3 linked regions of the Alligator mississippiensis genome follow. The protein of the gene in region 2 interacts with the protein of the main gene of each other region in a pairwise test. Links are inferred from orthologs where the notes say so. Each region holds a gene or a part of one and is shown on either strand. Other genes may lie near its edges. The genes, in order: ODAD1, C6H1orf216 and MYRIP.

Region 1 (7,454 bases), on a different chromosome or scaffold from region 2:
GCCACAGGGAGAGGGGCATCAGAGAAGGGCTCTAGCCACAGTCCTGCCTGCCATGGCCCAGCCCCTCCCACACATCCAAAATGTGGCCCAACTTCCTTGCAGCCCAGCCATATGATGTCATGCCAAGACCCCATGATATCACACCAAGGCCCTGACCTATCATGGCCCAAATCCTCATACACAAGACCCATGATATGCCAAGGCCCACTGTGGCCACATGACATCAAACCAAGGCCATGCCTTCCACATGCTAACCTTCTCACAGGCAACCCACATGACGGCACATTAAAATCCCATGACATTATACAAGGCCCTGTCTGCCACTGCATAACTTCCTCATGCCAAGGCTCCAGGATGTCATGCCAAGATCCCATGAGATCACAACATGGGCCCATGACATCACAAGATGATACCTGCCATGACGCAAACACCTTATGCCCAGACCCCAAGATATTCTATCAAGGTGCTGCCCCCACAACATTCCCTGACTCCTCCCACCAGATATTCTTCCACCCCCAAGCTGTTCCCACCAGGCTCTGGAAGCCCTTCTCCCACTCTGACCACCCCGGGGACCTGGCAAGGGACACAATACCCACCTAAGGGTGCTAAGGAACTGCCCCTGACCCAGGTGATTGCCACAGACCTAGGGGGAGTAGGTGTGGATCCAAGACATAATGCAGGGCAGTCTGTCCTGCTGGGGGTATGGATATGGGGTGCCTTGGTGTGGTGAGGTTATGTACGGGTACCCCATGGCCTATGAGGCAAGGGCTGGCTGCCAAATTAAAATCTTGGGGTTGTCTGGGGCCAGCTGGGAGGAGCATGGAAAGGGGTAGTGGTGTGCAGAGGCCCTCAGGGGCTGAGAATTAAGAGATGGGGCACCATGTCCCTAGGACCAGGATGTGACAGGACAGGGCCCAATAGAGGTCCTGCGGCAAAGCCATTACCAATGCCATCCAGGTCCAAGTCACTGCTGTCAGAGCGGTTGCTCAAGGCAGAGCGGTGCAGCGGCATCTTCTCCTCCTTGCTGATGTTGGGGCACAAAAAAGGGAGACAGAGATTAACTGGGCACTGTGGAGTTATTCCCAGGCTGCTGGTCTCATTAAGGGCAGCTTAACGGGGGTTTATATCAGGGTGCTCCACGCAGCACAGGGCATCACATGTGGGGCAGACAAGCAGAGGCGTCTGGTTTGACACTGGAGCTCTCTACACTGCCTCAGAGGGTGGCTGCTTCTGGGACACAGCACAGTAGGTAAAAACAACCCCTCTCACAAGCCCTGTGCTCCCAGGGAGCTGTGCCCTTGAACTTAATACAGAAGCTAAAGGAGCTGGGCTGGGCTGAGGGAAGGGGAAGCATTGGGGGTGAAACTGGGGCAAAATAACAGCTGGTTCACACGGTGCTTGCAGATCAGGGTGGTAGGAAAGCTGGGGGGCTGTTTTGGGGAGAGGGTGATTTCTGGAGAGGGCTGGGGATTTGGTGTGAGTCAAAGGGGCTAGTTTAGGGAGAAGGTGTCAGCTCAGGGTGGGTATGGGGCAATCCTGTTCTCAGCCCTTCCTAACCCTGCCCTCCCAGGAACCTGGAGCAGGGGATACCTGGGTCTCCTCTGGATGGTCCTTGAAGGCCGCAAGCAGGCACAGGCAGAGGGAGGGGGAGGTCACAGCCTCCAAAGGGTGCAGGGGACTCTGGCACTTGCTCCCTGTCTCTGCATCACTCACTCCTCCAACCCGCCTCCAACTCAGTTGTTAGTTACAGTCTCCAGGAAGTTAAAGTATCTCAGCCTATGGAGGAGCTGGATGGAGCCTGGGGGCGGAGCCAGGCAGGGGAGAATGCATGTGGGCTGAACACCCCTCCCACTACCCCCTCCCTTCCCCCCATAACTCCCCTCCCTTCCCCCCCACCCCAACAACCCTCCAATGCCACTCCCCCCTGGCTGCCCACCCCCCACTCCTCTCCCATGCCTCCATAGTTCCCATCACCCCCTTCAGTCCATCCCTAGCCCCCCCCCCCATGACCTCTCTTCTCCCCTTCCCCACTCCAACCTCATCCATCCATATACCTTCCACCCATGTAACCCTCAGCCTCTACCCCTACTCTCAGTCCCAACCAAATTCCTCCCCCCGAACCTCCTTCAGTCCCACACTCCCATGCCACCCCCTCACTGGACACCCCAGCTCTGGTGCAGATGACGGGGGGTGGGGAGGGGGGACGAGATGGGGACTGCAGTGTGGGGTAAGGGAATGTGCTGCCCAAGCATGGCCATAACCCTACCCTCATCCCAAAGGGCATCGCAGCCAGGTAGGGGCCACTCTGTCCGGACAAGCAGCACCATCACTGCTCAAAGCAGGGAGGAAGGTTCAGTTCAGCTGGCACCACCAGTCATGCCAAGGCCCCATCACAAGTCTGCAGCATTAGACCACTCCAAGGCCCCACCAGATCATGCCAAGGCCCCGTCACATGCCTGCACCATAAAGCCAAGGGTAATGACCACGCATCTGCTCATGCCAAGACCTAATAATGTGCAAACCACTTTGGGTGGCTCCAGTCCCATCACATCCCCAAGCCACAGTAGCTTGTGCCACAACCATTTCAGACCTCTTCACACCAACAGCCCATTAGGTCAGATCACACCACAGCCCCATGGGACCACATCTAGGCAAGATGCCACAGGAAGATGCCAAGTCACAGGACCCCAGCAAGCTGGGGGACACTGCAGCCCCCCTGGGTCAGCACATGGCCCAGAGAGTCACAGCAAGCCCAGCACAGGTCCCCTGGGCCACAGAGTGGCAGTGTCCACCCCAGGACACAGCATGGCCACAGCACAGCAGGTCATGCCAAGGCTATGGCAGGTCACATCAAGACTACAGCAGGTCTTGCCCAGCCCCATGCGGGGGGAGAGGAGGGAAATCTCACCAGCTCAGGCCCGATGAGGCCAACTGTGATCTCCTGTTGGGGAGGGGGAACCTCCATCCCTCCTAATCAGGACCCAGGCGTGACAATACCCATGCGCCAGGCCAACAGCTCCTTCCCCTCCCTTCGCCAAAGCCCCGCCCACGCACAGGCCCCGCCCCTTGCTTCTCCCGCCATTTGCTTCCACTTCCTCCCTTTAGGAGCGCGAATTACGCATGCGCATCACCCCGCCTGGCTGTGCTGGGTAGGAGATGCAGGAGGCTGCTCAGGGATTCCCGGGCGCGGGGAGGGGTCGGCTGGGTGCCCGGGGCGGGACCGGGGGCAGCTCATTTGCATGCAGTGCCCCACGAAGCCTTGTGGGCGGTCTGCAGCCACGTGAGTCAGAGGCCGGACTACCCCGGCACACCACAGTCCGGCCCAGAAAGCTGCCAAACCACAGCCGACCCCCCCCCTTGCCCCCGTCTGTTTGTACCATCACAACAGTTGCCAGGGCACCAGGCATCTGAGTGGGCAGGGGTTTCCGGGGAGCGGAAAGCGATACTTCCTCCCGTCTCCGCCCTGCCCCCCCCCCCGGGCCTGAGCTGGGACTGCTGGATGTGCGGTTTCAGAGGGCCTGCACTACACCGCTCTGCCTGGTGTTGCCAAGTGAGAAGCCCCCTTCCATCAGCCTCCTGCTAGGATGCTAAGAGACTGACCCAGGGGGATAGAACCCGGGCATCCTGGCTCCCCATCTCCCTTGATCTAACAACCCACCAGACCCCACTCCCTGCCCAGAGCTGAGGTGGAACTGGGGTGTCCTGGCTCCCAGCCCTCCCTTGCTGCAACCTCTCCCCAGCCACAAGGAGGAACTTCCTTCTCTTGTATTTCTGCTTCTGGGTGTCTCTAGAGGTGGGAAGTGAGAGCCTCCTCACCCCAGCTGGGTGAGCAGGAGTGGAGATCCCTGTCTGGCTCAAGAGACTCCTGTCCACCCCAGCCCTTCCCATCAGACACTCCACTAAGGTGTCATGTTGTGAGCTTTGGGGTTTCCATTCAAAATGGGAAGTTTTCTTCCTTTGCCATGGTGTGAAACCTCCAGCCATTGGCTTCATAGCACTGGTTTGGGGTAGTTTTTTTGGGGGGGTTGTTTTGAGGAGCAGCTGAATGAGTGTGGAAGGTGGGAAGGATAGTTTGGTTGGAGAGGCACCTGCTCAGACAGGGCCTGAAGTGTTGGGGGGGGCTCTCTTGAGTTTGAGAGCTTGGAGAGTCTTTGGGGGTTCAACAGCTAAGACTAATGCTCTCTTTGCATCCTGGAGGGCAACACTAAAGGGGTGCAATTTGAGGTCTGTGGAAGAGGCAGACATTCTGGGGAGCTCCCTGGAACAGCCAGGATTCTGGGGCTACACTTTGAAGTAGCCCCTTGCCACTTTCAGAAGGCAATATTTTACAGTTAGGGTGGCCAAAATCTGGAACCAACTTCCCAGGGAGGTGGTCTTCGCCCCTACCTTGGGCATATTCAAGAGGAGGTTGGACGACCACCTGTCTGGGGTCTTTTGAACCCAGCATTCATTCCTACCTGTGGCAGGGGGTCAGGCTAGATGATCTGTTCAGGTCCCTCCTGACCCTAGCTACTATGAAACTATGAAGTTGGGGTGACCCAGTGGGATCTGTCCTAGGGTCCACTCTCCTCTTGCCCCCACATTCCCCAGGGTCTCCCCTAGCCCCTCGCAGTTTCCTGTGGCTCCTTTATAAGCTTCTGAAAAAAGCATGATGTAGAGAGTAAATGCCACCAGCCCCTTCCTACCTCCAGTGAACTCCACCCCAACTCCCTGCCCTGGTGCCCTGAGTTTGCTAGAGGAACTGGGGAGACTGTAGGGTAGGGGCTGTCTTTTTAGACTTGTCAAAAATAGGAGAGGAAGTCAGAGGCCCTGGCGGAAACAACTGCTGAAGAGGGATGAGGTGTATTTCTCTAGGGAGAACCCCATACACATACATATGCCAAGTGGTGGAAGGAAGCTGGTGGCTTTGAAACCTGCAAAGGGCAGGGAGGAGCCCCAGATGGGAGTGCAGCTCGCCCTCCCAGCCATCACCTGGAGGTTCCTGCTGGTGCTGGGGAACATAAAGCCATGGCTTGAAGACCACATGTCCTATTTTAAGACCAAGGGAACAACCAACTTGGCCTCCCTGTCAACCAGTCTCAGGTTGAGCTACATCCCCCTAGATAATGATTTTCAACGTTCCAACTTGTCAGCAAATTAAATGCTAAATTACCCACCCCATTCAAGGTTCCAAAGCATTCAGCCAATCAGGGACTGTGTTGTGGTCCAAGCCTCATTCTGCCAGTCAGGGAGGAGGTGCACCCCTCCCCCACAACCTCAACCAACATATATACAATTTCAGTCTATAGTGTTATACCAAAAGGATGCAAAATTATTTGAAGGATTTATAATGTCCAGATTCTCTTTTCATAGATTCATAGATTGTTAGGGGCTGGAAGGGACCTCACAGATCATCGGGTTCAGCACCCCGCTCTAGGCAGGAAGACAACTGAATATTCCCCACTTTTCCAAAGCTCTTCCCCAATCAGTGACAAGTATTCTCAGTCTTGGGGGGTCCTAAACTACCAGCACCCAGTTGTCTTCTGAGTAGGTGGCCAATTACTGTCCCTTCCCAGAACTGGGAGAGATCCCAGGAGTCCTAGCAGTATGGTAATCCACAAGACTACAACCTGCTGCCCCTCAAACTGCAACAGAACCCAGGAGTCCTGGCCCCCAGCCTCTCTGCTCCAGCACACCAGACATTCACTCCCTTTCCCAGAACTGAGATGGAACCCAGGAATCCTAGCTCCCTGCACCCTCTACCAGACCCCACTCCTCCCCCAGAGCTGGGACAAAACCCAGGTACCCCCACTCCAGCACACCAGACCCTCATTCCCTTCCCACAGCTGGAATGGACCTCAGGCTCTCCCCCCTGCTTGTTATCACCAGGCACCTCTGTCCTTCTAGAGCTGGGATAGGACCTAGGAGTTCTGGCTGCCAGCCTTCCTGCTATGACCCACCAGACTTCATTCCTCTCCCAAAATTGGGAAAGGAACCAAGGTCCCAGTCTGGGCCAATCTGTGGGGAAGCCTGCAATGCCAGGGAATCCCGGGCTGGCAGTGCCTGCAATGCAATGGTCTGAGGGGGACAGAGGGTGGAGGGCTAGTGGGGAGACACACAACAAGGGCAGGGACTCAGTGCTCTCCATGTGGTGCCAGCTGGGGAGGGTGTTCTCTCGGGGTGGGGGCCCCATGTTCCAGCCCCCCAGCCAGCAGACACAGGACATCCTCATCTGGCCCCTCCCTCCTGGGGCTGCTGCCAGGGGTGTGGGGGGAGTTACTATTTATTCAGGCACAGACGCAGAGACAGGGGAAGGGAGAAGAGAGGGAGCGACACAGCCTGCGTCTCAGAGGAGTGCCCAGACCTGCCCAGGTACCCTGCTCCCTGCTGCTGCCCCTTGCAGTCCCCAGGGTGGGGGGTGCCTGTCTTTTAGTCTGGGTGGGTATGGGGATATCTGTCTGTCTGTCAGGGAGGGAGGAATGTGCTTTTGCAAAGTCTCAAAGTTTGGCTCTACTTGCACAGGGGGAGGTGCTAAGGGGGATCGTAGGGTGCTGGGTGCTTCCCTCTCCCGCTGCTTTTGGGAAAGGGGAGAGAAAAATCCGTTCCTCCCCCACACACACCCTAAACCACTGCTAGGTGGCTGCTGTCCCCCCCTCACCGTCTGGGAGGCATCTGTACCTCCATAAAGCCACAGCTGGTGCCAGCACAAAGAGAGCACCCCCACTTCTCAGTGCAGAGACCCAAACCCACAGCACAGAGCATAGCACACCCCCCAGCAGAGACACTGCTCCCACCCCAGCTCAGAGAGCCAGCCCCAGCTTATCCCTGCCCTGTCCAAACCCTGCCCTCCCTGCCACAATTACAGCCCTTGGGCAGAACAACTGGAAATGTGGACACCATACACGTGGCCAGAGACGGGCACCCCCTAGAAGGGACAGGTCCCTGTCCCATCCCCACCCCCTCAGCCAGACAGTGCCCCCCACCCCCCAAGTAGATGGGGCTGGAGCCCCCCCTGGAGGGAGTCAGTTTGCCCCATCCTGAAGCCCACCCGCCCAGCTCTGTGGAATCAATGGCTGGTTGTTTTCCCTTTCAAAGAAGCCTTGGTTTGCAGCAGGAAAAGTCTTGTGGCCAAACTGCTGAGGGCCAGGCGCCAGGCAGCTTCCTCATGGTACAGGGCTGGGTGGGGACCTGGGCTCAGGCCTGGTGCCTGGGAGGGCTCAGGCTGCTGTGCTAGGGGAGCTGGGAGGAGGTACTGTGGGGTAGGGAAAAGGGCAGGGGATGCTTAGAGGTGCCAAGCTGTTGAGAAGGGGGGCACTGTGCTTTGGGGAGTGGGTAGAGGATGCTAGGGATGCCAGGTTGCAGGCAGCATAGTAGGGGGGTTGTGGGGGCATCCTGCTGAGGGAAGAAATCCAACAGGGGGTACCTCCCATCTCAAGTACTGGTCCCTGGGCAATGGTAGGGATCACCGTGTCCTG
Region 2 (7,028 bases):
CATGTCTGGCTGATAAGGAGCAATGCTCGGTCTGGATTAACGGGCCTAAATAGACATCATCACACAGGATCTCTTCCCTGCACCAACCAAGCCAGGAGCATGAAGTCAGCCGTGCAAAACACTGTAGGCTGCAAGAAAAAAGCTGTGGGAAACAGTGGGAAACAGTTTAAACTTTGTCCCTGTTGGTGAGGCGTATGAAGGGAACCTGTGTAAATTTGAAACACTTTTGGTTACTTCTTTTAATGTCTGTTCACCTTCCCCAGTGGAAATCCTATTACATCCCATTGGATTATTTTAATAGATCTGTGCAGCTTTCCATTGGTCTCTGACTTTTCAAGGATGCCAATAGCACCAGTAGGCCTGCTCCTTCATTACAAACTGGAACCAGTGGAAAAAAAAATGTCAAACTAGAATTCCTACCAGGGTTATGAATAGAGATGGAGGAAAGCTTAGTGCTAGAAATCACATGCAGGAAAACCCAGGAGAACAAGATTCCCTCCCCAGGAGACCAGACTGCTTAGCTACCCCTTTTTTCCATGCAAAAGTTAGTGGTTGAGTGGGAATAATACCAGTGTTGATGGGGAGTGTTTACTGCATGGACTGTAACTTGGGGACGTTTCCCTGGCCAGCCCTGCCTAAGCAGGACTGCGATTTTTAGCAGGCTACCCAAAACCAGCATTAGTTGTTTTACCTTTGCCATTCCTCAGTGAGGTAATAACCAATATATCTTGGATGGCAACTCCCCTGACAGATCAGATGTAGAGGATTCACAAAAGCGGGTGTTTGCTAAAGCAATTGGGAGAGTTTTCTCTGCATCAGTCCATTGATTTAAGGCACTGAGCTGCAATTTGGGAGAAGTGGGGTCAACCACTTCCCTACCACAGACCTTGGGTGAGTCTTCTAGCCCCTGTGAGCCAGTGAAATGGGTAGGGGGGAATAGTACTACTGTGCTGCATAGGAGTGCTGTGAGGGGAAATGCACTAAAAGCTATTTAATCAGCAAGAAAAGTGCCACAGAGATGTCACTCCAGGCTCAAGCTGCAAATACCCAGAGTTTATAGGTGTTTGAAAGCCAGGATTTGGACTGGACGCAGGCAGGGGGTGAGTCTGGATCTAGGTCTGGATATCCCTAAATGTTGGAAGGAATGCCTACAGGGCAAGAGGTAAGGGTGCCTGAAACACAAGGCAAGATGAAGGGGCAAAGCTAGAAGGAAACAGAATCCAATCCTTGAAGCTGCTGGTGCAGGAGCAATCCCAGGAGGGAGAAAGAGGAGCAGAGAGTGGAGCTGGGGTGAAGCGTGGGGTGTCACGGGCTGGCTTCGTGGGCCTGTGTGAGTGACAGGCCTCTCTGGGACTGAGGACCAGCTGCAGCCAACTGCAAGTGCCCCCACTGGCCTCAGGGAAGAGAGGTCTGTGCCCTCAGAGGCAAAGCCCTAGCTCAGCTCCCCAGGTACCTGCTTTACAAGAGGGCTACAGCTCAGCTATGGCCTGCAGCTCAGCAGAAGCCACTGCAGCAGCAACAGGACCAAGTGTATGCCCCAGCCTCCTGCTACAGGGGATGGACCCTCATTGCAGGATGACTGCAGCATACGGACCATGATCCTGTTCCTCTTCCCCTCTCCCCCAGTGTAGACCAGGATTAGTTGCACTTAACAGAACGGAGCTACACTGGTGTAGGACTGGTCCCAGCGGGAAGAGGAGGCCCAGTGTTTTCAGGGCTACTTGAACGGGGTCACTTTCACCTGTGCTGCACCCCATGACCCTGTCCCTTTAAACCTGGATTCCAGTATGGTTGCTATGGTGAGGTTTCCATGGCAAGCAGAGATGTGTGTGTGTGTGTGTGTGTGTGTGTGTGTAGCAGCAGCAGACAGCATGATGTGCTGCAGCGTGGTGGTAGCATGTGATGGATGGTGCCCAGAGCCACAGGGGAGAGTTGTGCTGTCCCCGTACAAACATCACAAAGCTCTGCCTTGCAGCGTGCCGGCAGGGTGGACCTCCCCTTTCTCTCGCATGCCTAGAGTTTGGGGGGGAAAAACCACACAGCTCCCCAGACTTGTGAGCTCTGCAAATGGTTTAAGGAAAATGCAAGGGAAAGGCAACGCAGAGGCAAAGGGGTTCTAATGCTCACGGTAATCCCTGCCAGGAGACAGAGAAAACAGATGCGATCAGGATTATGAGATTGTTGGAATCACTGTCCCAGCACATCCTCATGTGGCCACTGAGCTAACCTTGATCCTCAGTTACGGCAGGGTCCCCTGTACCAGCTCATGTGGCTGTAGCAGGCTCAGCACCTGGGCATTCAAAGGGGAAGGGGCAGGAGGGTTTATCATGCCTACGTCCAAACTTTGTGTTTTGGGGCAGGGGCCAGGGGGTGGGAGGGGAAGGGCATGTGTGGTACAACAGTTACCAGCCACACATCCCTAAGATGGCACCGAGCAAAAGCCCTGTCCATGCTGTGGGACCCTACAAATAAATCAATGAACGCTTTGCAAATCAGAAACCCAACAAGCACATGCATATGTGCACACATGCACACATGCACATGTGCTCATGCACACTCTCTCTCACATACACACACACACACACACACACACACACACACACACCAGGCCAAGCACAGGTGGGGCTGGGGTCCTGGTACCATCTGTGTGAGCAGAACAGCAAAGTGCTGGAAAGTCAGTAGAAACCCCCACTCCCCCCACACACACCCTGTCAAAGGGGTCCAAATGTGACCATGGGGCTGTGCTCTTTGCCCTGTGCCTAGCACCGAGGTGGGGAAGTAGGTGACTTCAACCCCTGGCATCAGGTTATCTCCTGCCACATACCAAATACAAACAACCCCCCCGCGTAATGCACACACTTACCAAGGAGGTCTTGGGAAAGCAAAGGTGGATTTCTCAGGCGGCTGCTGCTGCTGTTGCTGCTGCTGAGCTGGAGAGAACGGAAATAGTCCTCACTCCAGCAGCAGGAAAGCGTCATGTACTGCATACTTCCTACAGCAACCGGCGCTGCTGGGAGTGCCCTGTCACAGGATGATCAGCAGGCAGCAAGAAATGCAAGGCAGCACCTACGGCCACCTTAGCACAAGCCTGGCACTGTTAAGTGAGTGTGTGTATGTGTGTGTGTGTGGGGGGGGGGGGTTAACAGAGCCTATAAAAGATGATCTGTCTCCCTAGCGATGGAATCAGCTTCCCTGGAAACAACACTCAGCCAGGAGATCAGCCCTCGGTAAGTAAAGAGATGCTCGTGCTGTGCAGAGGAACCTGCATTGAGCGTCCGGCACATCACCGACTCACACTTCAGCAGCAGCAACTTTGGAGGGCCTGCCTAGAGGCAGCTGTAAGGAACCTGATTTTCTGCGGGAGAGTGGCTTAGGATTTTCTGAAAATCAGGCTGCATTAGAGTCGCCCCGGGGAATCTGAGGCATCAGAAAGCCACCAAATCACTCTGGAAGATTTAGCTCTGATCAGGCTGGTTGGTAAGTGGACAGATTCCCAATACATTATGCCCTGGATTCCCCCTGGATTTGTACAGGGCTGCACATGATGAAGGCCTGGTCTGTGATAGCTGCTTCCCTGGCATTACCACAATACAAAGGAATGAATAAACAGACATATATTCCTGGCAGCAGTCTTGCTAGCATGTCAGTGGTATGTGACCCCCGCACCCCCAGGCATGTGCAAGGGGTCAGAGGAACAGTCGCAGTGCAATTGGGGGGGGGGGGTGTTCCATGTCTCCAATTGGTTTTTCACCAGACCAAAACTTGAGCCTGATCCATCCCCACAGCCTCACTCACTGCTCACCTGGTGTGCTTGTCATAACCCTGCCTCTGGTGTGAGACCCTGTCAGTCCCTCTGTCTTTCGTGGGGCCCAGGAATGGATGGGAGTGTGGAGCTAAGCAGTCGGAGGGGTGCAGGTAGAGAAAGGAAGCGAGGTGCTCTCACCTCCTAGCCTTGGTTGTACCAGTGCGCTCTGAGACACCCGTGCAGCCAAGCTCTGCTGCTGGGAACGCACACTTGATGGTAACTTCCAAGTACAAAGCACGTGGGGAGATTTTAGTGGAAACCAGGGCAGTTGCAAGACCTTTGTTTAGAAATTGCTATAGCTGGTGCTGGTCCAGCTGAACTAGAGCATCAGGCCTTCTCTCAAGTAGGACACCTGGCCCATCTGAAGCCCCTCTCCCTTCACCTCTACCATGGGTGTGATGGGTTGAGGCAATATTTCAAGATCAAGGATTTCCCTGCCCATGGCTTATCATGAAGCTCTGTGCAGAGAGCATCTGGTCAGTGAATGTCCTGGACTACAGCCATGTTTTCTTCCAGGGCCTGGGGCATAAGATCTTTTTAATAGAGAGCCCAGCAATGGGACTGGCTCTGATCCTCTTTATAACAGAAGTCTGTGGCTTCTCTGACCTGGATACATGAGGGCAGCAAGAGGATGTGAAGCTCCCCTGTCCCTTGGGCTGGTGCAGAATCTCTGAAGGTGCAGACAGAAGTGCCGCTTCCTGGTCTAACTCATGGTGCTTCACAGAAAGCGCCATGAGTTAGACCGACCCTCCTGACCCAAAAGAGGTTAGGTGTTGGGTCAGTGGGGAGGGGGGGTCAAGCTCCAATTTGGAGCTGATCCAGAGAGAAAAGCTGCAACTCTGCACCCTCTTCCCCTAGCCCCACTACCCCTCTCCTGGCCCCTGGTGCTGTCTCAGGCTGGGAGAGGGAGAAGGCAGGGGAAGGAGTTGCATTCTGGGGTTTCCTCAGACTGCACTGGAGTCAGAGGATGGATGAATTGGATCCCCCAACCTTGGGGGCATCCAAGCCACCTGCCTTACCCTCCAGCACTGACTAAGCAACAACCAAAATGAGCTCCCTACTCTCTCTTCCCCCTCCCCCATTCTGAAAGCACCCAGCATGCACAGACAGAAGTTAATGAAGGCACTCCTGTTTGGAGCACCTTCATCTGAACCCTCATGTAATGAGAGTTCAGATTGTTGCGGGATCAGGCCCTTTTAAAGTGTTCTGCAGCCATGCACTTGTGTTAGGACAGGGCTATAGAGTACTTTCAGGGGCCAGATGGGGCAAAAATTGTCATTGTCTGCACCCTGAGTCCCAGGGCAGCCTGTCCCATCTCCAGATTAAAGAGCCCTCCACAGAGCTACATCTGGATATGATGCTGATGCCCATTGGCTGTATGACTCCCATCATTAAATCTCCCTAGTGGTTAAGAGCTTTCTCAGCCTCCCTGGGCACTCCCTTGAAAACCCAACTATCTTTCTAGCTTAATTAAAGGTTTCAGAAGACTTCAAAGACAGAGAATTTGCCACCTAATAATGTAGTTTAATGGGATCTGCAAGCTACTCTTACCTACCACTTTTGCTGTAACATCAAGACCGGTGGTGTACTAGAATCACTCTTTTCTCTACAAATACCACAGTAAGGGGCTTGCGATGAACAGGCAGTGGCTGGGATTTTAATCATGCTGCTTAGCTGGCCACGCACTGGTGAGAGAAGCTTCCCAGAACCCTTTTGGGCAGGTGAAAGTCCTCAGGTTGATGAGGCCTCTCTGCTATATTCCAGATTTATTCGGAGTCCCAGAAAAACTCCAGTGGAGAAGCAATGAGGCAAAGCTACAAAATGTGTCCTGGCTTTTGGCACAACATGAGTCTATGGGGTACCTGCCTGGTGATTAAACCTGCTAAACCTGAAGGAAAAGAGGGACATGTCCCTGCACCACCACCTGCTACTGGGTAATGAGTGGACGGTATTGGCAAAACGTCTCTGGGGGTCTAACCCCAAACACAGCCTGTAGCCCAGCAGATACCCCCTGTGTGCATGTGTATGGGCATGTGTATGAGGATGCATCTCACCCAGCAACACATTGAAGACAATTTTTCATGAACAGAACAGCTCCTCCTTCTACCTCTTCCCAATCCCCCTGATCAGTCCTATGAGCTTTAGGCTACCCAGACTCCCCCGTGGTACCTACCTCACAGTCCATCAGCTCCTTGCAGAGCGCAGGGAGGGGGCTATGGATGCAGCTTTCTCAATAGACCTTTTATCCATCTGTGCTGGGACTTGGGGGTGTCTCCAAAGGTTAAAATAAAAAGCAGTAGCACATCAAACAAGCAGGGATGAATGCAAAGCCTGGAGCAAGAAGGTCACATGAAGCACCACAAACACTTTGGGCATAAAGGGGCATTGTCAGGCTTAATGCCAGGATGAAGGGAAAGAGCAAATGTAAGGGGTTCTGAATGGTTTGGATGAAGTCAGCATGTTAAGCAACATGAGTCTTGGGGGTTGGAGAGGTGACAGGGGGACAAAAATGTGCTTCACATGAACACAAGGAGGGTTTGTGTTCCTCCTTTCTATGTTTATCCCCCTTCAGCTCCGGCCCCAAGCAGTCAGCTGTAATATTGATTTATACTTCTACCTCTCTGGGGCAGGGGATGTGTCTTTGTTCTGTACAGCACCAAGCACCATGAGTGTCCCAGCCCTGGCTAATGTCCTCAATCCTACAGCAATACAACCCTATCACAGCAATACTGCTCGTTAGGGCTGGCCTTTTATTCTATTTCTAAGGTGCCCGGCACAACAAAGACTCCTTGAAGTGGGGTCCTTGGTGTTACGAACAGGCTACAAACAGATGTTGCATTTGTCCTGGGACAAGTTGTGCCTTTGGTTGTCCCAGAAAAGAAAAGTCACAGGACTGGCATGTATACACGTTGCCCCTCCAATCAGGGTTTAGTGAGTGGGTGAATGCACTGCTGCTTTTCTTTCATTGGTCCAGTGATGCAATCCCGGGACATCTGCCCTTAGGACAGAACAGTCCCATGCACCGGTACAGGTTGGACCGACTGGCTAAGCAGCAGCTTTGCAGAAAAGGACCTGGGGGTTACAGTGGACAAGACGCTGAATAGGAGCCAGCAGTGTGCCCTTGTTGTGAAGAAGGCTAACGGCATCCTGGGCTGCATTAGTCAGAGCACTGCCAACAGATAGAGGGAAGTGACTATTCCCTTCTATTCAGCACTGGGGAGGC
Region 3 (7,190 bases), on a different chromosome or scaffold from region 2:
TGGACAATTATGTATTAGGCATACACAGCTTTTCTTGAAAGTCAACCATGCATGCATGTTTTCTTAAACCTTATTCAAACATTATATTTATTGTAGCTCTTGTTCTCCTTACCATTTCTCAGGGTAGTGATGCAGGATCCCTGTATGTAATTGCATTCTCATAGCTGGCTTTTATTATTTGTGCGTTTCTCCCAGAGAAGTCCCTTTTAAAAGTCAATTGTCAAAGCACCTGGTCAAATTCACTATTATTTTTAACAGTAGGGCTTTTTTTCATGGGGGGGGGGGGGGGGGGGTCTGCCCTGCTAGGACTCAGAGGGAAAAACTGGCCAGTTTGGAAAGTTATAGACTATGACCTTATTTTGTTTCCAAACAGTACAGATTACAAAGGGGAACATTTCATAAGAAATATTGGCCTGTCTAAAAGAGTAGTTCTAAAATGCCTCCCAAGAATGCAAATTAAGTCTTGTACACTTGTCCCAGGAAGCCACTGTCTGAAATGTATCATGTATGTTCCATATTCGCATCTTAGAACCCAATTTTGTCATTGTACTTTAAAAAAAAAAAATCTTCCCATTTATAGTCTAAATATATTTTTTAATAAGCCGTCTGCTTGTGGAATCTGACTGATAAGCAAATAGTTACATATTTACAGGGCAGAAGACCTCTGTGCACATGCTCTGATACAATTATTTCTATTAAAAAATAAAAAAAGAGACAGATTAGGGCACATCATGGTTCAGGGAGTTAGGAAAGTCGTTCCTTTGTAAGTTTTAAATTCAGATTCCTCTCAGGTTGTTAATAATCAGATGGTATTAATATGTGATGGATGGCAGTTCAGTGACCTGTATAAAATCAGTTGATGATCTCTGTCCACTCCCTATTGGCCTGGCAGCTACATCATCAAAAACACACTGGCAAGCTATGATGACAGTCTGGACAAAACTATAAAGGCTTGGGTGAATGTGGAAAATGAACTCCCTTCTCCCTCTTATAAACAGCCCTTCCTGAACAGGACTGAGGCATCTTGTCACAGAAAAGGGAAAGACCTTCATTACCAATGCCCACATTATGCCTGTTCTAGAAATAAAAGTTTCTAGCCTTTATAACTTTCACTCTGCCACCTACTGACATTTTCACAGAGGGATGATGAAGGGATGAATTTAAAAAGGAAGAGGAAAAAAAAAACAACACAAGCATACTTTCTATCAACATAAATCCATAGGTACAGTTTACATCTCTATGAACCTACTTAGGGTGGCACCTGCAATCCAAGACATTTTGCTTAATTTTGTGATCCAATTCGGTTACATAAATCTCAAACAAAATATAAACCAAACCATACAGCTCAGAGTGACTAAATTAGATTCCCTAAGACAAGTCATCGTAAACCATATGGTATTTTCCCCAGTAGTTACAATATGCTGACCTTGATACTAGCAAAATGTGTTCTCTTCTGTAAAAAAAAAAAAATAAATAAATAAATAAAGTGATGCTATATACCGTAGTTGCAGAAAGAATATACTGAAATGCTGCCATACATATCTTCCATTACAAACCTCAAAGTCCTCCCAGAAGTTAGTTCACCCATAGTAAAACATTCTATTCATTAAAGAAAAACATGCTGTGATGGCATTGCCCGGATAATGATATTATTTAAAAACCTGCCAAACTATTGGGACATCTGGCCGGTAATCACAATAAAGAAATCTAATGCAAATATATTCAAACACTGAGACCTAGCACTGGGTCCAGCCAATTAATGCTGCTTTTATAAATGTGGGAAAGTCAGCAGGATATAACTGCTGGGCAGCTACAAACGTACAGTTTGGAAATAACGCCACTCTTTCTTATGCCTTATCCCCATGCTACAGAAAACCTGCTTGCACAGTGAATGGAGGAGCCTACTCTCTCCCTATGTCCAGATTAGAGACTCTTAATAAACATTTCCACATTACAGACCCCTGGCCAGCCCAGTTTCACTCTTCCTTTCAGCATCCATGCTCTGCCCCTGTGCGCCAAGGTACTGGGTAGGATGATCCTGTGCTCCAACCCAGTAAATGACAGTTCTTCTGTACAAGCATCACTGTGCTTCAGTAAGAGAGAAAACCCAAGGTGGGGGGGGAGAAGGTGGGAGGGAAAGGGAGGAACAAAATAATAGGTGTCTGCTGCCTGGAGAAAATGAATAAGGCTAGGGTAGGATCGCACCTTGGAGGCTAACTAGATCACAGAGGCATACGGTGAGCTCTGGCTGGCTTCATCCCATCGTCAATCAAGGGGCACAGCATGAGTCTGGCTTTGACCTTCGTTTGGGGGAGTGGGGGAGAAGTCCAGATCGCAGCCTCCTCCCCACTGCTCCAGCCATCCCCTGCATCTGAACCTCTCCTCCGTCACAGGGGGTGAGACAGGCCCCCCCACGAAGCCACCCCGGGATGCAGGCGCAGCCACCGGGGGGCACCAGCTCCCCCACAGGGGCTAATGGCAATGGGGAAGGGAAGGGGCAATGCCAGGCTGCGCACCTATGCGACAGGCAAGAGAAGGAGGATTGGGAGGGGGGAATTGGACTGTCACTGCACCCCCCAGCACCTGCCAGCCCTTCCCTTCACACCACAGCAGCTGGGGAAACTCCTGCATGTCCCCCGCAGCGCACCCAGGCTGGGAGCTGCTTGCCCCAGCAAGACAGAGCCCCTGCGGCAGTGCCAGGGCAGGCAGGGCAGGGCAGGTGGGTACTCACCACGGCAGCCTGCACCAAAATGGAAGCTGGGCAGTAGGAACTTCTCTCTGCAGCGCAGCGCTCGCCGAAGAAGGATGCTGCGGATGGGTCAGCAAGTCCTTGGCCCCGCGGGCCGGGGTGGCTCCTGCTGCCTCGCACCACTGCCCTCGGGGGCGGCAGGGAGAGGAGGAAGGGGATCCCCGCCGCGGGGCAAGGGTGCCTACCAGCGGCTGGGGCAGGGCGCCAGGTGGGCGCTGGCGCTGGTGCTGGGGGCCGCGCCTGCCATGGCACTGCCTCGCCCGCGCTGCCGCCACCACCTGGCCGGCCCGGCGCGGCCGCGGGGGAGCCGAGCGGAGCCGAGCGGGGGCCGCGCGGGTGGGGGGGCGGCGCGCGCGCACTGCAGCGGCGCTGCCTCTCCTCACTGCAGCTGGCGGGAGCGGGCAGGAGCCGGCGGCCTCCGAGGGAAGCGGCTACCCCCGCCACACCAAAAAAATAACCTCTCACGCCTGGAGGCGGGTGCCGAGACCCAGTGACAGGCGTGAATGGAAGGAGGCGGGCTTTCGTACAGCAAAAGGTACCCAGGCTGGAGCCGTCTTGGGCTGGAGGCAAAAGGAATCAAAAGTCTAGCAAATAAAGACTTTTTTTTTTATTTGGGGGGCGGGGGGCAAATAGCTATTAGTCTAAACAAAAGAGCTCACCTCTGCCACGAGGAGCTCTGATTCATTTTCATTTCAAAAGGCCCCTCCAATGCTTTTGGAAGCTTCCCCCCCCCCCCCCCGCCCGGATTGAGCCTCCCACAAACTGCTGAAAAACAAAACAAAAAATGCCCCCTCCACCAAAACAAAACAACCCCCCAAAACAAAACGCCCCCGTAAAAAACCAAACAATAACCCCCCAAAACAGAACGACCCCAAAAAACAAAACCCCCCAAACCCCAAAAAACAAACACCCCAAAAAATCAAAGAAAACCCCCAAAAGAAACACCCCCCCCCCCCGCAACTCTAGCTGGGGTCACTTCTTTACATAACTGCATTTAAAGTAGATATCCTGCAGAGCTGTTGGTTGTAGCCGTGTGGCTCTTGGACATAGGCAGGCGAGGGGCTTTGGCTAAGCTGCACTTGTCTGATTCAATATGGCAAAGGGAACAAATGCCTTTGGGAAAGTAAGTCTCAGCCCTGGCTAGCACAAAGGTCATTCATTGCTTCTGCTAGGACATGAATCAGTCATTCACACCGTCTTCCTCAGCCTAACGAAGGGTGTTTGTGCCCAAAAGAAGAATTTTTCCAACTGGTTGAGTTGGTTTAATAAAAGATATCAGATTGACCCAAAGAACCTTGTCTGCCTTGTTCGCAGCACACATTTATAGCACAGGTAGCATTTATAGCACTCCCTTAACCTTGTCCCGGTTAACATTGTTTCGTTATTACATTGCTGATTGATTAGAAAACAAACTTGTTTAAAGTCGCACAACGTTCGGTCAGAACGTTGTTTGGCCACCGCCTGCTAGTAGGTGACTACTGGGATTCACTTAAACATTGTTTCACTTAACGTTGCATTTTGCAAGAATGTAACTATGACTGTAAATGAGGAGGAGCTGTATGATTGAAAAAATATCTGAGGAAATCTTTTGAGCAGCCCCTCACCTGGGGAGTGGGGTCCAGGCATCCAGTGAGCAAAAGGGTCAGATCCAGGGGCTGCAGATCAGATAATACTTTCTTTGTTGAGAGGAGAAAAAGGCTAGTCTGCAAGAGGGGCTACACCCAGACACACTAGGAAAGGGATGGGAGCTGCTGGGGGCATCTACCCTGCCCCACCCCACCCCACCCCACCCCACCCCACCAGCAGCCACACCACAGAGACAGCCTGAACCAGTGCAGCCCAGCTTCATGTGTTACTAGGCACAAGCACAGGGCCAGTTTTTCGGACCTGGCAGTACTCATTGCTTCACAGCATTGCTGTTACCACTGCAGGGCTCCCAGTGGCAGGCTTTGCCAGAACCCAGGATTTCCTTTAATGTACAGACACGAGGGGCAATTCAGCAGAGAAGAGTCTAAGGGGAGAGGGGAAGCCAAGCACAGTTCTTCAACAAAGTGGGGAGGCCAACCTTTATCCTGCGACACATACGGCAAAACTCAGGGTGCAGCAGCACTCCCTGGCTGGGGAGATGATGGCTTGGCCAGTGACAGCTAGCTTCCAAGAGGAAAATGACTGGTTTTTAGTTTAGAAACAAACCCTACAAGAATGTTTCTCAAACTTTCTCTGGTTGATCTCCTTGTTTTCTCCCCACAGGCATGTTGACATGCTCACAGGGCCTCCTTACACATCACTTTGTGTGGCTCCTAGAGTTCTTATTGGACAATCTGGGGGTTAAGAGCTCCAGGAACATGTGAACACCTGAAACTGGTTTTAAGCACTTGTGAGGCAGCTCAGAGTGACTGATCCCTGTCACCCAGCTTGTGTTGCACTAAGGTGTAGCCAGGTTAGGCTACACCTTAGTGTAAACACCCCACCCCAGCTGGTCCAGATCAGGGCTAATGCGCCAATTGCCCTCCCCAGCACCCCAGATCCAGGCTCACTGTCTCCCCACCCCTCCTCCCCTGCTTACTTGAGGCTTCCCCAGGGCTGTTTGTCCCAGGGAGCAGGCAGGGAAGAGTTAAACTACCTGCCCAGGGGAAGCTGCTTCTGCTTCTCTCTGCACCAAAAGAGCAACAGCTATACAGCAGCAAGCAGGTAGGTTAACCCTACCCTGCCTACTCCCCCAGGACAGACACTGCAGGCAACCACAAGGAATTCCCCCCGGGGTTGTGGAGAGGCAGGGGAGAGAGCCCTAGGGCAGGGGTGTTTGAGGGAGCCCTAGGGAGCAGAGGGGAACTCTGGAAAGGAGGAGTGGGGAGAATTCTTACCTTTCAGTCCTCCAGGCCCCTGCTGGCCTGAACGTGTCACTGCTCCAAGCTTGAGCTAGTATTAACACAGATCAATATTTGTGTGGCTTACAGCATAGGGTGTAATAAGGCCCAGCCAAAAAAGGAAGGCAGAGTGCACCTGCTTTCTTTTCCCTGCTGTGTAACTGTTTCTCTTTCTTTTCTTTTTTTTTTTTCCTTCTCTGTGGAAGAGTTGTTATAGACTCTCAGTGCCCTTTTCTAAAGGCTTTCTTCTACTTACTGTTTAATGTTTTCTGCGCTATTTAGCCAAATAGCAACCAGTCTCATATTTGACAGCAGAGTCCTGGAGTAAATCTTGGCTTATGGGTGTCCTTGGAGCTCTACCACACATCTGAATGGTTTAATGGAGCAAAAACGGATTTATGGGAAAGCCTGTAAGATTTTTTTTCTCGTCAGATGATTGCCTCTGTATCAAAATCAGACCTTATGCAGATGTTAATCCTCTCCTGTCCTATCCAAACTGAGGCTGTTGCCTATCCAATCTCTTCTTAGACAGCTCTAGTGAAGGAGATTCTACAATGTTTCTAGACAGCTAATTCCACTGTCTTAAGTGGAAGAACAGTTGGACAATAGAGCAAGCCACTTGGGGATGTTGGGAAATGCAGAGTAGGCCAAAGGAACAATCTGTACTGTTTACTCCTCTGTAAATAGTATGGAAGAGTTCTTTGGAAGTACATTAGAGCCAGTAGAGACAAAAGGGGAGTTTCTCAATGTCCCTTGCCTATTTGTTTTTGGTATTTGCTTGGACAACATAGCCTATAGATTAGAAGTGCTATTTATAAGATGGTTTTGATCACCTCAGAAGTTGTTATAGCAATAACGACTAGGTTCAACATTAATTGGCTGCATCACTAAATAGATATGATATAACACCAAGTCTATGCATATTTAACGCTTTTAAAATCTTGAATGTACCTTCCTCAAAATGCAATTTTTACACCGTGTGGCCCTGATCCTTCCCCCACTGAAGACAAAAACAATATTCCTATTGACTTTAAAGTATTCAGAATAAATCCATATCAAAAGACACTGCTGGTGGCTATCCCACAGGGTCAGCTACCTAATAACTGGTAGCAGAGGTGCAGTCCACATATAGATGGATAGGAGTGAATTTAAAGTAAAGGGAAACCAGATGGCTCAAACTGCCAAGACTTCCTGGCATACGGGTTGAGTGTGCTGTGTTATTATAATGAAGTTGTGGCCTGGTCAGTCATTCACATAATCAGTGAATCATTGCTGTAATTTGACTGCGCTCTCTACACATCCTGTATTATTGCAGACTGTGCTGTATCAGACTAATTATTTTCCTTTGGTGTTGTTTTCATTCTTATTTTTCATGCTTGTTTAACTTTGTTTCAAAGTGGCTGCAGCTGTTCCTTGGAAGGTATGGTATATTTTTATTTGATTTCAGTTAAAGTGTTCTGTTTCGGACAATTTTGGAAGATTTTATAGGAAAAAACCATTTGAATTAAGATATCATAAATGAAACAAAAAACATATTAAACATTTATGTGGGTACTAATACCCACTTATGTGAG

Evidence for each region.
Region 1: the proteins of C6H1orf216 (region 2) and ODAD1 interact in binary tests that used the Homo sapiens proteins (3 or more experiments, as listed by UniProt). The two-hybrid records come from large-scale screens. The link is inferred for Alligator mississippiensis from reciprocal best matches to the Homo sapiens genes C1orf216 and ODAD1.
Region 3: the proteins of C6H1orf216 (region 2) and MYRIP interact in binary tests that used the Homo sapiens proteins (3 or more experiments, as listed by UniProt). The two-hybrid records come from large-scale screens. The link is inferred for Alligator mississippiensis from reciprocal best matches to the Homo sapiens genes C1orf216 and MYRIP.

What each region holds. Positions count from the first base shown.
Region 1 is NC_081828.1:38,585,692-38,593,145, reverse strand, and holds the start of ODAD1 (outer dynein arm-docking complex subunit 1), read right to left. Parts: upstream 3,026-7,454; 5' UTR 2,909-3,025; intron 2,457-2,908; exon of another isoform or gene 2,267-2,456; intron 1,799-2,266; exon of another isoform or gene 1,591-1,798; intron 1,025-1,590; exon of another isoform or gene 1,012-1,024; coding exon of another isoform or gene 945-1,011; intron 1-944. UniProt on the Homo sapiens protein: Component of the outer dynein arm-docking complex (ODA-DC) that mediates outer dynein arms (ODA) binding onto the doublet microtubule. Involved in mediating assembly of both ODAs and their axonemal docking complex onto ciliary microtubules.
Region 2 is NC_081829.1:8,811,347-8,818,374, forward strand, and holds the start of C6H1orf216 (UPF0500 protein C1orf216 homolog), read right to left. Parts: upstream 3,033-7,028; 5' UTR 2,864-3,032; intron 1-2,863.
Region 3 is NC_081828.1:134,550,024-134,557,213, reverse strand, and holds the start of MYRIP (rab effector MyRIP), read right to left. Parts: upstream 3,102-7,190; 5' UTR 2,732-3,101; intron 1-2,731. UniProt on the Homo sapiens protein: Rab effector protein involved in melanosome transport. Serves as link between melanosome-bound RAB27A and the motor proteins MYO5A and MYO7A. May link RAB27A-containing vesicles to actin filaments. Functions as a protein kinase A-anchoring protein (AKAP).